3 linked regions of the Tribolium castaneum genome follow. The protein of the gene in region 3 purifies or fractionates together with the protein of the main gene of each other region. This does not show direct contact. Links are inferred from orthologs where the notes say so. Each region holds a gene or a part of one and is shown on either strand. Other genes may lie near its edges.

Region 1 (3,277 bases), on a different chromosome or scaffold from region 3:
TAACAATGAACAGGGAGTCACGGGACCTCACTTCTTTTACTGCATCGTCTATGGCATTTTTCACAGCTGAACCGTCCCATTTATTTATTTTAACAGGCTGCAACAATAGGTTATGAAGCCAAATTTACAATTTTTTCCGTATTTAAATAACAAGCGTGCAAATTACGTGTTCATTCATTTAAACTGTACCTTATCATCCTTTTCTTTGCTTTCTTTTGGGGCCATAATCTTAACTGACTGGTTAAATTTTCAATTTTTTATGTGGTGTTGTCGTGTCTTGTTGTTGCGACACGTCAAGTGATGCGTCAGAACACGAAATATGGGAAACGCGAAAATACACCAACATCGGTGAACAAAAGTAACTACGCTTTTTCAAAAGAACGGGTTTTACCAAATATTTTTTTTAAATAACGTTGATTGTTATATCTGCCACTGAAACTGTAAATTCGTTTGGCTATTATTTTTTTCAAGTGGATGATTAATTTAAGTCAGTGAGAGAAAATGCGGGAATTGGGATGGGTATAAGAAAGTTTACGTCAAGTTTATAAAGTAAAGAAATTTATTAATCTTCAAGCATTCCTAATAAATTAATACAATAAATTTGCATTCTTAGGAAATAAAGGCTAAATAACAAAAATTGTAAAGCAAGTGACTTTAGGGTTTTGACTGCTCATCAGAAGGCCCAGCTTCTTCTTCTTCCTTCTTTTTGGCATCAGGTATCCAAAGACCCGCAGCAACACACCTCTTCATGTGATAGTTGGCCTCTTCTTCATCCATTTCCTTGATTGTGTCTTGCAACATTTGGATGTCTTGCGTCTCGAAACATTTTCGTAAATTCTCGGGAAGACTTTCCAAGACTTCAAGCTGATCTAACCCTCCTGGCCCTATCCTCGCTTTCCTCTCCTCCTCCTCTGCTTCTTTTATGGCCTCTTCAATCTTCTCAGCTGCGCGTCGTCTGATCCTCTCCTTAAACTGGTCTAATTCATCGTCAAACGATTTTTTGTAAAGAGGATCAGCTATTTGGATTTTGGAGAAAAAGGGGTCCACGCAGCCGCGAGGGTCGTAGTCTAATTGTTTGGCTAGTTCTAGGATGTACTGCATGCAGATGGTCTGGTGCGCCACGTGCTCCATAAGGTCATGTTTCTAATTAAAAGAACAATACATAATTTACCCCAACAACTCAGTGTTGCCAATATACATTTTTTGCCACAATCTTACCTCTTCCATTTCTAAATTGATGCACCAGATGACGAGGTAATTAGCTGTGTCTTCGCAAACCAATTCAAGGTGGTCCCTGAGAAAAGCCCGAGAGTCTTCATAACGTCGCAACATTCCAAAGTGCTTCAAATTCTTCTCGTTTTCTTTTACAAAATTTTTCATGCGACTTTCCTTCTCTTCATCCGTTAATTGTTCGTCCTTCGGTCTCGGAGCTTTCTTATTAATAACAGTCTTTGCAAAACCTGGCTGACTAATTGTGTCCACATTCCACGGGGCCATCTGTAAATCACTAAATAAACATTAGAAGAACTAACATTCGTACAAACTTTTTCTTTCTTCTCGTGTTCTTCCTGTTTCTTCTTAATCGCTTCCATTTCCTTCTCCAGCGCGGCCAGAGCGTCCTTAAGTTCCCTCAAATTCGCATCTCCGGCCTTCTCGGCTTCCGCCAGCTTCTGCTTGGCTTGCGAGACCTTCTTAGCATTTTCCTCCCTCTTTATCTGGATTTCTTCCGCTTCTTTCTTCATTTCTTCCATGCGCTCAACTCTGGCCTGGTGCCTCCACCGGAAAAGTGAAGGGGTGTCAATATTTGGATGCGTCTCATCCTCATCGTCGGAAATCTGCAAAGCACCACCTAACCTCATTTTTTCCTCCCAGACTTCACTACCTCAATATTCTTCCACTTGCTGTAATCGACCATGACGCCAATGCGAATTTTGATTCCTCCAAGAAAATACAACAATAAAACACTTGCACTTTTGAAATAAACAACAAACGTCACTTTGCTGCTCCTCCGCCCTCTGGCTGGCTTTCGCGAAACGTCGGCAGAGGATCATGGGTAGGGAGACGAGGGCAAATAAAATTCCAGAATATTCTTTCAATCATAATCTAATACTTTAACTTTAAAAACATTGACACGATTAATCTTAAAAATTACTGATATGAAATAAAACATGACAGCATAGTTGGCAATGAAAAAGTACGGTTCGGTTTGTAACAATTGTAACCATGACTACCACCAAAATGCCATATCAAAGTTTCATGGCCAACCGCTCCCTGAAATTTTCGATTAATTACTAATAAATTAGCACATTGATTCGGTCAACTCCAATTTTAACTTGATATTGTCGTTCGATTTAGTAATAAATGGAGAACGTTTTGTGGAACGGCAACTTCTTCTCCACGATTTCCTTGTTATGTTCGCGTCTGAAGTCCCACAAGAAGTGATCGATCAAAATGGCATTGATTTTCGTATCAGTTAGTTTTTTATTGGCATGTTCTTTTAGCAGCTCGACCGCATGGATGGAGCAAGCTCTGATCTCCACTTCGTCCTCTTCCCCGTTTTCGAGAATTTTGTTGTCTTGCAGTTTCTTCTTCAAATCTTCGCTGTACTCAAACACCCCGAAATATAGGAGAGATTGTGGGATTCTATAATCCGCAAACATTGTTATTTCATCGATATCTTTAAAGTGCCCAAGTCCTTCGTTCTTGAAACAGGCCCAAATGTCGCCAATTAAAATCTGCGCCCGCTTGTAAATCGCAATTTTCTTGTCTTTGTAAGTCGCTTCGTCCTTGAAGCACTTGAAATTGTTGACGATTAGGTCCAGAAGGGCCACAGCGCTCTTGTCAGCCTTTTTCACGCAATTTTCAAACGAACCGTCGAAAGTTTCAAGAAGGACGTTCCCAACTTCGTGCAAGCATTTGACGCGTTCCTGGAGGAGTGGAATTGGGACATCGTTGTCGCTTCTGAATATTTTCGCAAGGTCTTTTTCGGACACTTCAGAGTAGTATTTCGAGTTCAAAATATCCACTTTTTCCTTCACGGCTCGATTAATAGCCGCACAAAGGGCAAAATAACCAGTGTAGCCCTCCACAGTCCAGCCAGCTTCGGTTTCTAAGTGCCAGAAGCAAAAATTCAGAGTGTCCACGACAAATAACCAGTCAAGGGCTTTGGGATCGTCGGATTTTGGGTGCAGTTTCACTTGACTGAACTTCTCACTGGACAATTTCCCGCTTTCGATCTCGCTAACCAACTGGAGATAACAGTTAAAATGTGCCTTTT
Region 2 (3,758 bases), on a different chromosome or scaffold from region 3:
AAAATTTCTAGATTATTCACACCTTTTATGTGAAATAATTTTTCCATGGCCAACTGCTTTCAAATATTTTAAATATATTTTTTATCAAAAATATATAAAAATATCAAACTGTATTTATATTATTTTCAGTTTAAAAAAAAATAAGCTTTTCGAAAATGTCATAGCCAACTATGATTTCTATTTAAAGAAATACAACTTTATGTTATTACAGCTAAACGATTTATTAAAAAAATTCACTGATACCATAATTAAATTCTCTATAAAAAAAAGCCATATAACGTCTTTGTTTCAAATGTCTATATTTTATAATAAGGAAGATATAAATTTTTTAACATTTGGCCAAAATATCAACTTTTGTTTATAAGTCGAAAACAAAAAACTATAGCGAGATGCGGTTTTGACCAAAATTATTTTCTCAAAAAGCGGACCGGAAAATGTGTCTTGTTTTTCTCTAAACCTTTTAGTTTCGGAAATCCCCTATTTGTGCATAAATTTTTTATCTGTATTTTTAAGTGGCCTAAATTGTTATTTTTGCTCTACTTCTGTATAAACACACTCAGTTAACACCAAAGTAGCCGTAAAGCGTCTTCTAATCAGTGATTAAAATTTAAACTGGCATTAGTTCGTAAATCTGAGCATCTGATTGGTCCAATTCCCCTGATCTGGAAACGACGCTTCTAAAAACAGTCCCTTATTGTCAATCGAATGCTGTCCATTAGGACGCATAATTTAATTATTGTGGCATGCAGTGTGTGAAAGATAAGCAGGATTAAATAATTATTTATTCAATTTGGCGCCATTGTGACGTGGGCCGGAGGCAGCCGATGTGCGTCCGATCGCGTTCGGGTTTAGTGTGGCGGGCGCGGCCATATTGGCAGTACGTTGAGTGTCTGTGTTTTTTAGTGTTGTGAAATTTCTATCGATAATCATCGCAAAATGTCTGAACGGGAGGATAACGTCTACAAGGCGAAATTGGCAGAACAGGCCGAACGTTACGATGGTGCGTATATTTCCCCCCGATTCGGCCTCCTCCCGGCCCAAACGGCCATCATCTCGGGACGCTCCTCCATTTTCCGCCGCGGGGGTGCCCCGCGCCCGGGCGGCGGCGGGGCTGCGCCCCCGTGTGCATTCCGCGCGGGTGACTCATCGATCGGCGCCCGGCCCCGCAGCCCCCGCCGGAAAAAAGCCAAATGTCAGAATTTTCGCGACACCGGCCCACTGCCTATTGCGTAACTTCCGGTTTTGCACGTGCGTCACGTGATGGGGGTGGCGGATTCTGCCCCCGACCTTGTCCCATTTGCGGCGGAATTTTACGCTGCATTTTTAAAACGGGATTGATTTTTGAGGGCGGCCTGCACAGGGGTCGGGGGTGGCAGCGCGACGGCGGCGGCGAATGCCAATCGATAATCGCAGAGAAGAATGAGGATTTACCGAAATTACCAACAAAAGATGCACGTCGGGGGCGGGTAACTTGACTGCGAAATTTAGGGGGTTTGGGGGGTAAACATTTTATTGAATTATTTGTTCGCTCACGAAACGGCGAGACGTAAAAACGGGAGAGTTCTTGCCTAAATTTTTCATCGCGTCAATTTTTAATACAAACGGTGAATTTTTTACGTTTTACGTTACACAGTTGGCATTTAAAAATCACTAATAAGTACAGTCAGAAGGAGTGAAATTGTCGATACAATGGCCTACTTGTTTTAAAATTTAAATGCAACTAAAGTTATTCAATTTTTAATTTTACAAAATAGAAAGTAAACAAAGTCGATGGTGTTATCACAAACAAACACAAACTGTTGACAGTTTCGTATGTCGTCAAGTCCTTGAACTTAAATTATTGCAACGACGAAATTAGTTTTTTTACTTTGTCAACAGTTAACAAAAAATGCGTCAAAAATGTCACCGGCTTTTACATTCAACATTTGTGAAATATTAATTAAGCCGGAAATGTACCAACATTGCGTTTGGCTGGTGATTCATCCACCTCACCATTTTTGTCGAAGTTGATAGATATCGAAAAAATGTGACAAGTTGCCATGTTTGGACAATTTTATTGCATTTGATTGTACATTGTTTTATAACAGGTTGGATTAGTTTGGACAGTTTTATAGATGTAATTTAATTCCCGGTAATTCACCGAGAAACGATAATTCATTTTTATCAACTGATCGATTCTCTTATCAATAAGGGAAGACTGAGTTGAATGTCCTGTTTAAATTTCAAGTTTGTGTTATGCTCGATGAGTAATCAAATAACGTGATGTAAATGATGAGAAAGTACAAAACGCATTTTAATGAACAAATGTGTTACGAAAGCGAAAAATTCTATTGAAAATTGAAACACCGATTAATAAACGCCTTTGCTCACTGGAAACCAGCCTTCGTTTTTTGAGAAAATAATTTTAAATCTCAACAGAAGTTGACATTTTAGCGAAATCTTAAAAAAATCATATCTTCCTTATTATAAAAGATACACATTTGAAAAAAATACATTATACAGGCACTTTTTTTCAGAGAATCTAATAATGTTATCAGCGATTTTTTTCAACCATTCGTTTAACTGTAATAACATAAAGTTATATTTTTTTTAAATAGGAATCATAGTTGGCAATGACATTTTCGAAAAGCTTATTTTTTTCTGATTTAATGTCTATTTGTGTCATACGTTAAATTTAAATAATTAAGAAAAAACAAAACATTTCGCTTTTTCTTTATAGTTGGCCATGAAAAAATTTTGGATTTGTAATTAAAACTATGAAAATTGTATTACCTAACAGTAATTATAATTTGATGATTTTTTAAACCCTAATTAATTCAAAAACAGCATAATAAATTTTTATTAGATCAAATTTTTGCAATTAATAAAAATTATTTGTTTTTATATAAAATGGCAAGCTTACGTTGTATTTCTACATATTTTCAAATTTTAAACATGCAATGACGGAAGAAGAAAAATCTTATGATTGCGCATCAATAAAATTTTATTTTACAAAAAAATGACAATTCAAACTCCAAAATCAAATTCCACCTGCAGTAAAAAAATATACAACATTATCAATGTCACCTCCATTGCACTTTACTAAATCATAAAAAAGTGACATCAAATGGTAGTGACATATCGTTTGCTATTTTCTGTACATTTTTTATGTAATTAAAATCTGCGACGCTCGTATATTTATTCAATTGAAAATAACTTTAACATAGCTTATTTTGATAATTTCACATTTTTTACTTTAAAAACCGTTCACAAACTTTCTAGATTATTCACACCTTTTATGTGAAATAATTTTTCCATGGCCAACTACTTTAAAAAATTTAAATTTTTTTTATCAAAAATATATAAAAATATCTCACTATATTTATGTTGTTTTGAGTTCAGAAAACAATAAGACAAATAGACATATCAAATCAGAAAAAAATAAGCTTTTCAAAAATGTCATAGTCAACTATGATTCTCATTTAAAAAAAATACAACTTTATGTTATTACAGCTAAACGAATGATTAAAAAAAATTGCTGATAACATTATTAAATTCTTTGGCAAAAAGTGCCTGTATAATGTCTTTGTTTTAAATGTGTATCTTTTATAATAAGGAAGATGTTTTTTTTTTAAGATTTCACTAAAATGTCAACTTTTGTTTATAAGTCGAAAACAAAAGACGATAGCGAAATGCGGTTTTGACCAAAATGATTCTCTCAAAAAAAGGACCCGAGAATGTGTCACGCGTTTTTCTCTAAACCTCTTAGTTTTGGAGCC
Region 3 (3,658 bases):
TATTCATTTTCTTCCACAATTATTGTTCTGCCGTTTAATTTTATTCAGTTTGTTAGTTGTTCTTGACGCGAGCGCACGCCTCATAATTGAAATCAGGTTTTTACGAGAAAAAGTGGAAACAATCCGAATTAAAGGGTTAGTCAGTTTACAATACTTTCCTTTCTTTCACTTTAAATCTGTAATATTTTTAACTAACTTAAAGCACAATGTTCTAATTTCATTGTTTTTTATTTCAATAGGTTCTCTTAAGAAGATAATGCGATGAACTTGCTACAAACTGTAGCAAAAGATGCCAGGTTAGTGCATTTTATTTTTATTTTTGAATACAATTACATTAGAAAAAGTTGTTAAAAAATTCTTCTAACGAAACCTTTGTGCAGTAAAGATGAATATTTTCAGTTGTCAAGGGCTTTCCTTAACAAGTGATTAGATTTCTCTGATTATTATTATTACATACTAATTATGTATTTCATGTATTCTGTTGACGTGTGAATAAGATCTTTCTAGCACTAAATTAACTTTTATTATTATTACTATTTATTATTATTGTCTATATTCAAGTGAGATAATTTTGTCTATTTCCTAATGAATATCATTAAAGCATAATTTAATAACTCAATTAAAGAATGAGAATCCCAATTATTTCGCAAGTAATCTAAAAAATCAGTCAAAAATCACTAAATTAGATTGAAACGTACATTATTTCGCTTTTTTGGGTGCTTCTGCATATTTTCAGTTAGAAACGCAATTGTTCGGTCAAATTTTATAACAAATTAATCGAAAACTTTCAAAGTTAAGCAAAAAATGACGCCAATTTGTGCATTTTACGAGTGTTGAAAAAAACAACGCAGTTTTTTTTTTGCTAAACCGGTCTGAAAAATCAATAAATTCGATCAAAAATAATATTTTACTATAATAGAGCGTTTTTAATCAAAAATTACCCTTCAAAAATCATCCGAATTGGGTCGAAAATTTTATCATTTTTGCCTTTTTCGGACGCTAGAACAGGTTTTGTCCAAAAACGAAATTAATAAAATCAAAAAAATGGACGAAAATGATATTATTTAAGCATTTTTTAGATTTCTTGATATAAAAATCTATCATTTAAAATTTAATTTAATGATTATTATCTATAATTTTTACTGATACAAACACGCAGTTTTTGCGAAATTTTGCTAAACCGAACTGAAAAATCAATAAATTGAACATAAAATAATATCATTTTACTATTTTTGCGATTTAGAACGTTTATAATCAAAAAATTCATCAAAAATCACCCCAGTTGAATGGAAAATAGTATTACTTTTGTCTTTTTCAAACGCTAGAACAGGTTTTTGAGCACAGAAGGTTTCAAAAAATCATATTATTTACACATATGATATAACAATCTAACATTTGAAATATAATTTTAATGATTATTATTATCAATAATATTTAGTTTCGTTAATGTGATGTAAAAAAACTTGGAAAGTATTGTAAGTTTTGCTTTTAACGAGCGATTTTGTTTTCAAAAAAATTGCAAAAATATTTTAAATGAATTAAAAATAATATAATCTTTGCCTTTTTCGAATACTTAAAACAATAAAAACTAAAATAGGTCACAAATAGCATTTTTTAAGCTTTTTAGCATGTTGTCAAGCCAGAAAAATAATTATTAATTAAACAAAACAAAACAGCATTAAGCTTCCATCTTTTATTTATTTTATTTTTATTTTCATTATGCTTCAGCCCTTCGCCTCTCCACTGATCACCTGAAGCAATTTTTTTCTATCTTATAAATAAATTGCTCCCAGACAGTTGAAAACCGCATAAAAATACCAAATACTGTACCATAAATAAGAAAAAACGTACCGGAAACGGCGCAATGTTGATCGAAGGCTGCGGATGCGACCTCTTCCTCATCCTGAGCGAATTGATAATATTTTTCGTATTGCTAGCCCTGCTCGGATTAGGCGAGGGAAAAACCTGTACTTCACACGACAATTTCTTCTTAAATTCGTCGAGTAATTCCGGTGGCAATCCGCAAGAGGGTGTGACCCTATCCTCGCACTCCCTATGGCAAGTATACTTGCACTCTTTACACTTTAATCCCGCTCCGAAATAGATCGGTTTCTGGCAATATCCACACGTCGCAATCATCTTAAACGTTTTCGTAAACCTATGATTAATCTGATGTGCCATGCTGCGCCCCACCGGCGTCGGTGTCCTCGGTGATTTGGGCACTTGGAGACTCGGCGCTGCTACAAAACGTCGTCAATATTAAATTAGAAACCGTACCGCAACGTGGCAATTGTTGACACTCACATTTGTAACTATTGTCGTCACTATCGGTTCCGGTGTTATTATATGGGGGTGACTTGATGGGACTGGTCAGGATCGGACTTGTGTAATCAGTGTCAGGTCCTGGCTCAGTCGGTAACCTTGACCGCTTCCCAGAACCCTTTTCACCGCTGGGTAGTTCACCGTTATCGCCCTTTGCCAATTGTGACTCATGCGATTTGCTTTTGGTTAAGGGGAACGATTCAGACAACAATACTGGATTTTGAATTCCGGTCAGGTGCTTGCGGCGGGCCGGCGGCGTTGTCGGGAATTTCATTCCTACAAATCGTGCACATATAACAACTTCGGGGCGATTCCACACATTTCAAACATCTCTAAACCACCAAATTTCAGGCGGACACTTTCCAATATATCTCACACCAAATGCCCTAACGATCGTTCTTTGTTAAAAAAAAACAATTATTTTTTTTTTAAAAAGATCTTGAGAGCCGAACACAATTCGCATAGATTCTACGAATTTTTAAAAATACCTTCAGATGTCCCTAAGTGTTTCCACCATCAAAGAAAAAATTCGTTTGAATTTAGATTGATTTTAAGTCAGAAATCACTGCGAGATTATGTTGAAGCTAAAGGTCACCAAGTAGGTCGAAATAAAAACAATCGACTAATTCCGAGCGAGTTAGCGACTCATTTCAGCCAGAGAAAAAAAAGTTGAAAATAGAATTTTCCAATTTTTGAACACCAAAAATTTCCTTCTCTTTTTAAAGTAAAGTGAATTCTGTAATAAAATAACAAAAACTTTGAAAATGTTTAGTAATAATGTATTTTTAATTTCATTTAATAAAATGAGAGGATCATCTTAAATCAACTTTGATAAAATGCTACTCTGGTGTTTGTTTCATTTAAAAAATATTGTACGTAACAAACCGAACATAATTTTAATCTCTCAATTAGAACTTTGCAAATAAATTCAAATGCAAATTCAATTCAAAAATTCAAACTAAACTAATTTCAAGATTTTTTTATTTCGTCTGGTAAAAATAAATCTAAATCCTATGACTGTATGTTTAACGTGTTCGACTTAATGTCATCGCTTTATTCTAAATTTTCCTCATTGTTTTGGTTCAATTTGAAGAAAATTTAATATTTCTATGATAAGCACAAATTTTAAACTTTTTCAAATGAGTAAATATTCATTCTGTCACTTGCTGTTGTTGTTTATTTAATTCCTCTGGTCTGCAATAATAAATCCTCCTTTAAATAAAATTATTCTAAACACAAAGATTCAAACGTACTGAATCTGTATCTGCTTTCAGTTTTTTGCTATAATGTATACATTTTTTTAATGTATAATTTTGCAAATTTCGCCGGAAGTCGC

Evidence for each region.
Region 1: the proteins of ksr (region 3) and Cdc37 purify together in Homo sapiens (affinity purification with mass spectrometry; 3 studies listed by BioGRID and IntAct, with this or other methods). This does not show direct contact. The link is inferred for Tribolium castaneum from reciprocal best matches to the Homo sapiens genes KSR2 and CDC37.
Region 2: the proteins of ksr (region 3) and 14-3-3epsilon purify together in Homo sapiens (affinity purification with mass spectrometry; 3 studies listed by BioGRID and IntAct, with this or other methods). This does not show direct contact. The link is inferred for Tribolium castaneum from reciprocal best matches to the Homo sapiens genes KSR2 and YWHAE.

What each region holds. Positions count from the first base shown.
Region 1 is NC_087398.1:2,272,978-2,276,254, reverse strand, and holds Cdc37 (hsp90 co-chaperone Cdc37), read right to left. Parts: upstream 2,043-3,277; 5' UTR 1,916-2,042; coding exon 1,883-1,915; intron 1,836-1,882; coding exon 1,545-1,835; intron 1,498-1,544; coding exon 1,219-1,497; intron 1,144-1,218; coding exon 655-1,143; 3' UTR 542-654; downstream 1-541. Other genes in the region: Spase25 (signal peptidase complex subunit 2), read right to left, coding at 32-97, 190-225; queuosine 5'-phosphate N-glycosylase/hydrolase, read right to left, coding at 2,352-3,248. UniProt on the Homo sapiens protein: Co-chaperone that binds to numerous kinases and promotes their interaction with the Hsp90 complex, resulting in stabilization and promotion of their activity. Inhibits HSP90AA1 ATPase activity.
Region 2 is NC_087401.1:11,229,085-11,232,842, reverse strand, and holds the start of 14-3-3epsilon (14-3-3 protein epsilon), read left to right. Parts: upstream 1-833; 5' UTR 834-936; coding exon 937-1,000; intron 1,001-3,758. UniProt on the Homo sapiens protein: Adapter protein implicated in the regulation of a large spectrum of both general and specialized signaling pathways. Binds to a large number of partners, usually by recognition of a phosphoserine or phosphothreonine motif.
Region 3 is NC_087399.1:8,297,603-8,301,260, reverse strand, and holds part of ksr (kinase suppressor of Ras 2), read right to left. Parts: intron 2,599-3,658; coding exon 2,305-2,598; intron 2,241-2,304; coding exon 1,852-2,240; intron 1-1,851. UniProt on the Homo sapiens protein: Location-regulated scaffold connecting MEK to RAF. Has very low protein kinase activity and can phosphorylate MAP2K1 at several Ser and Thr residues with very low efficiency (in vitro).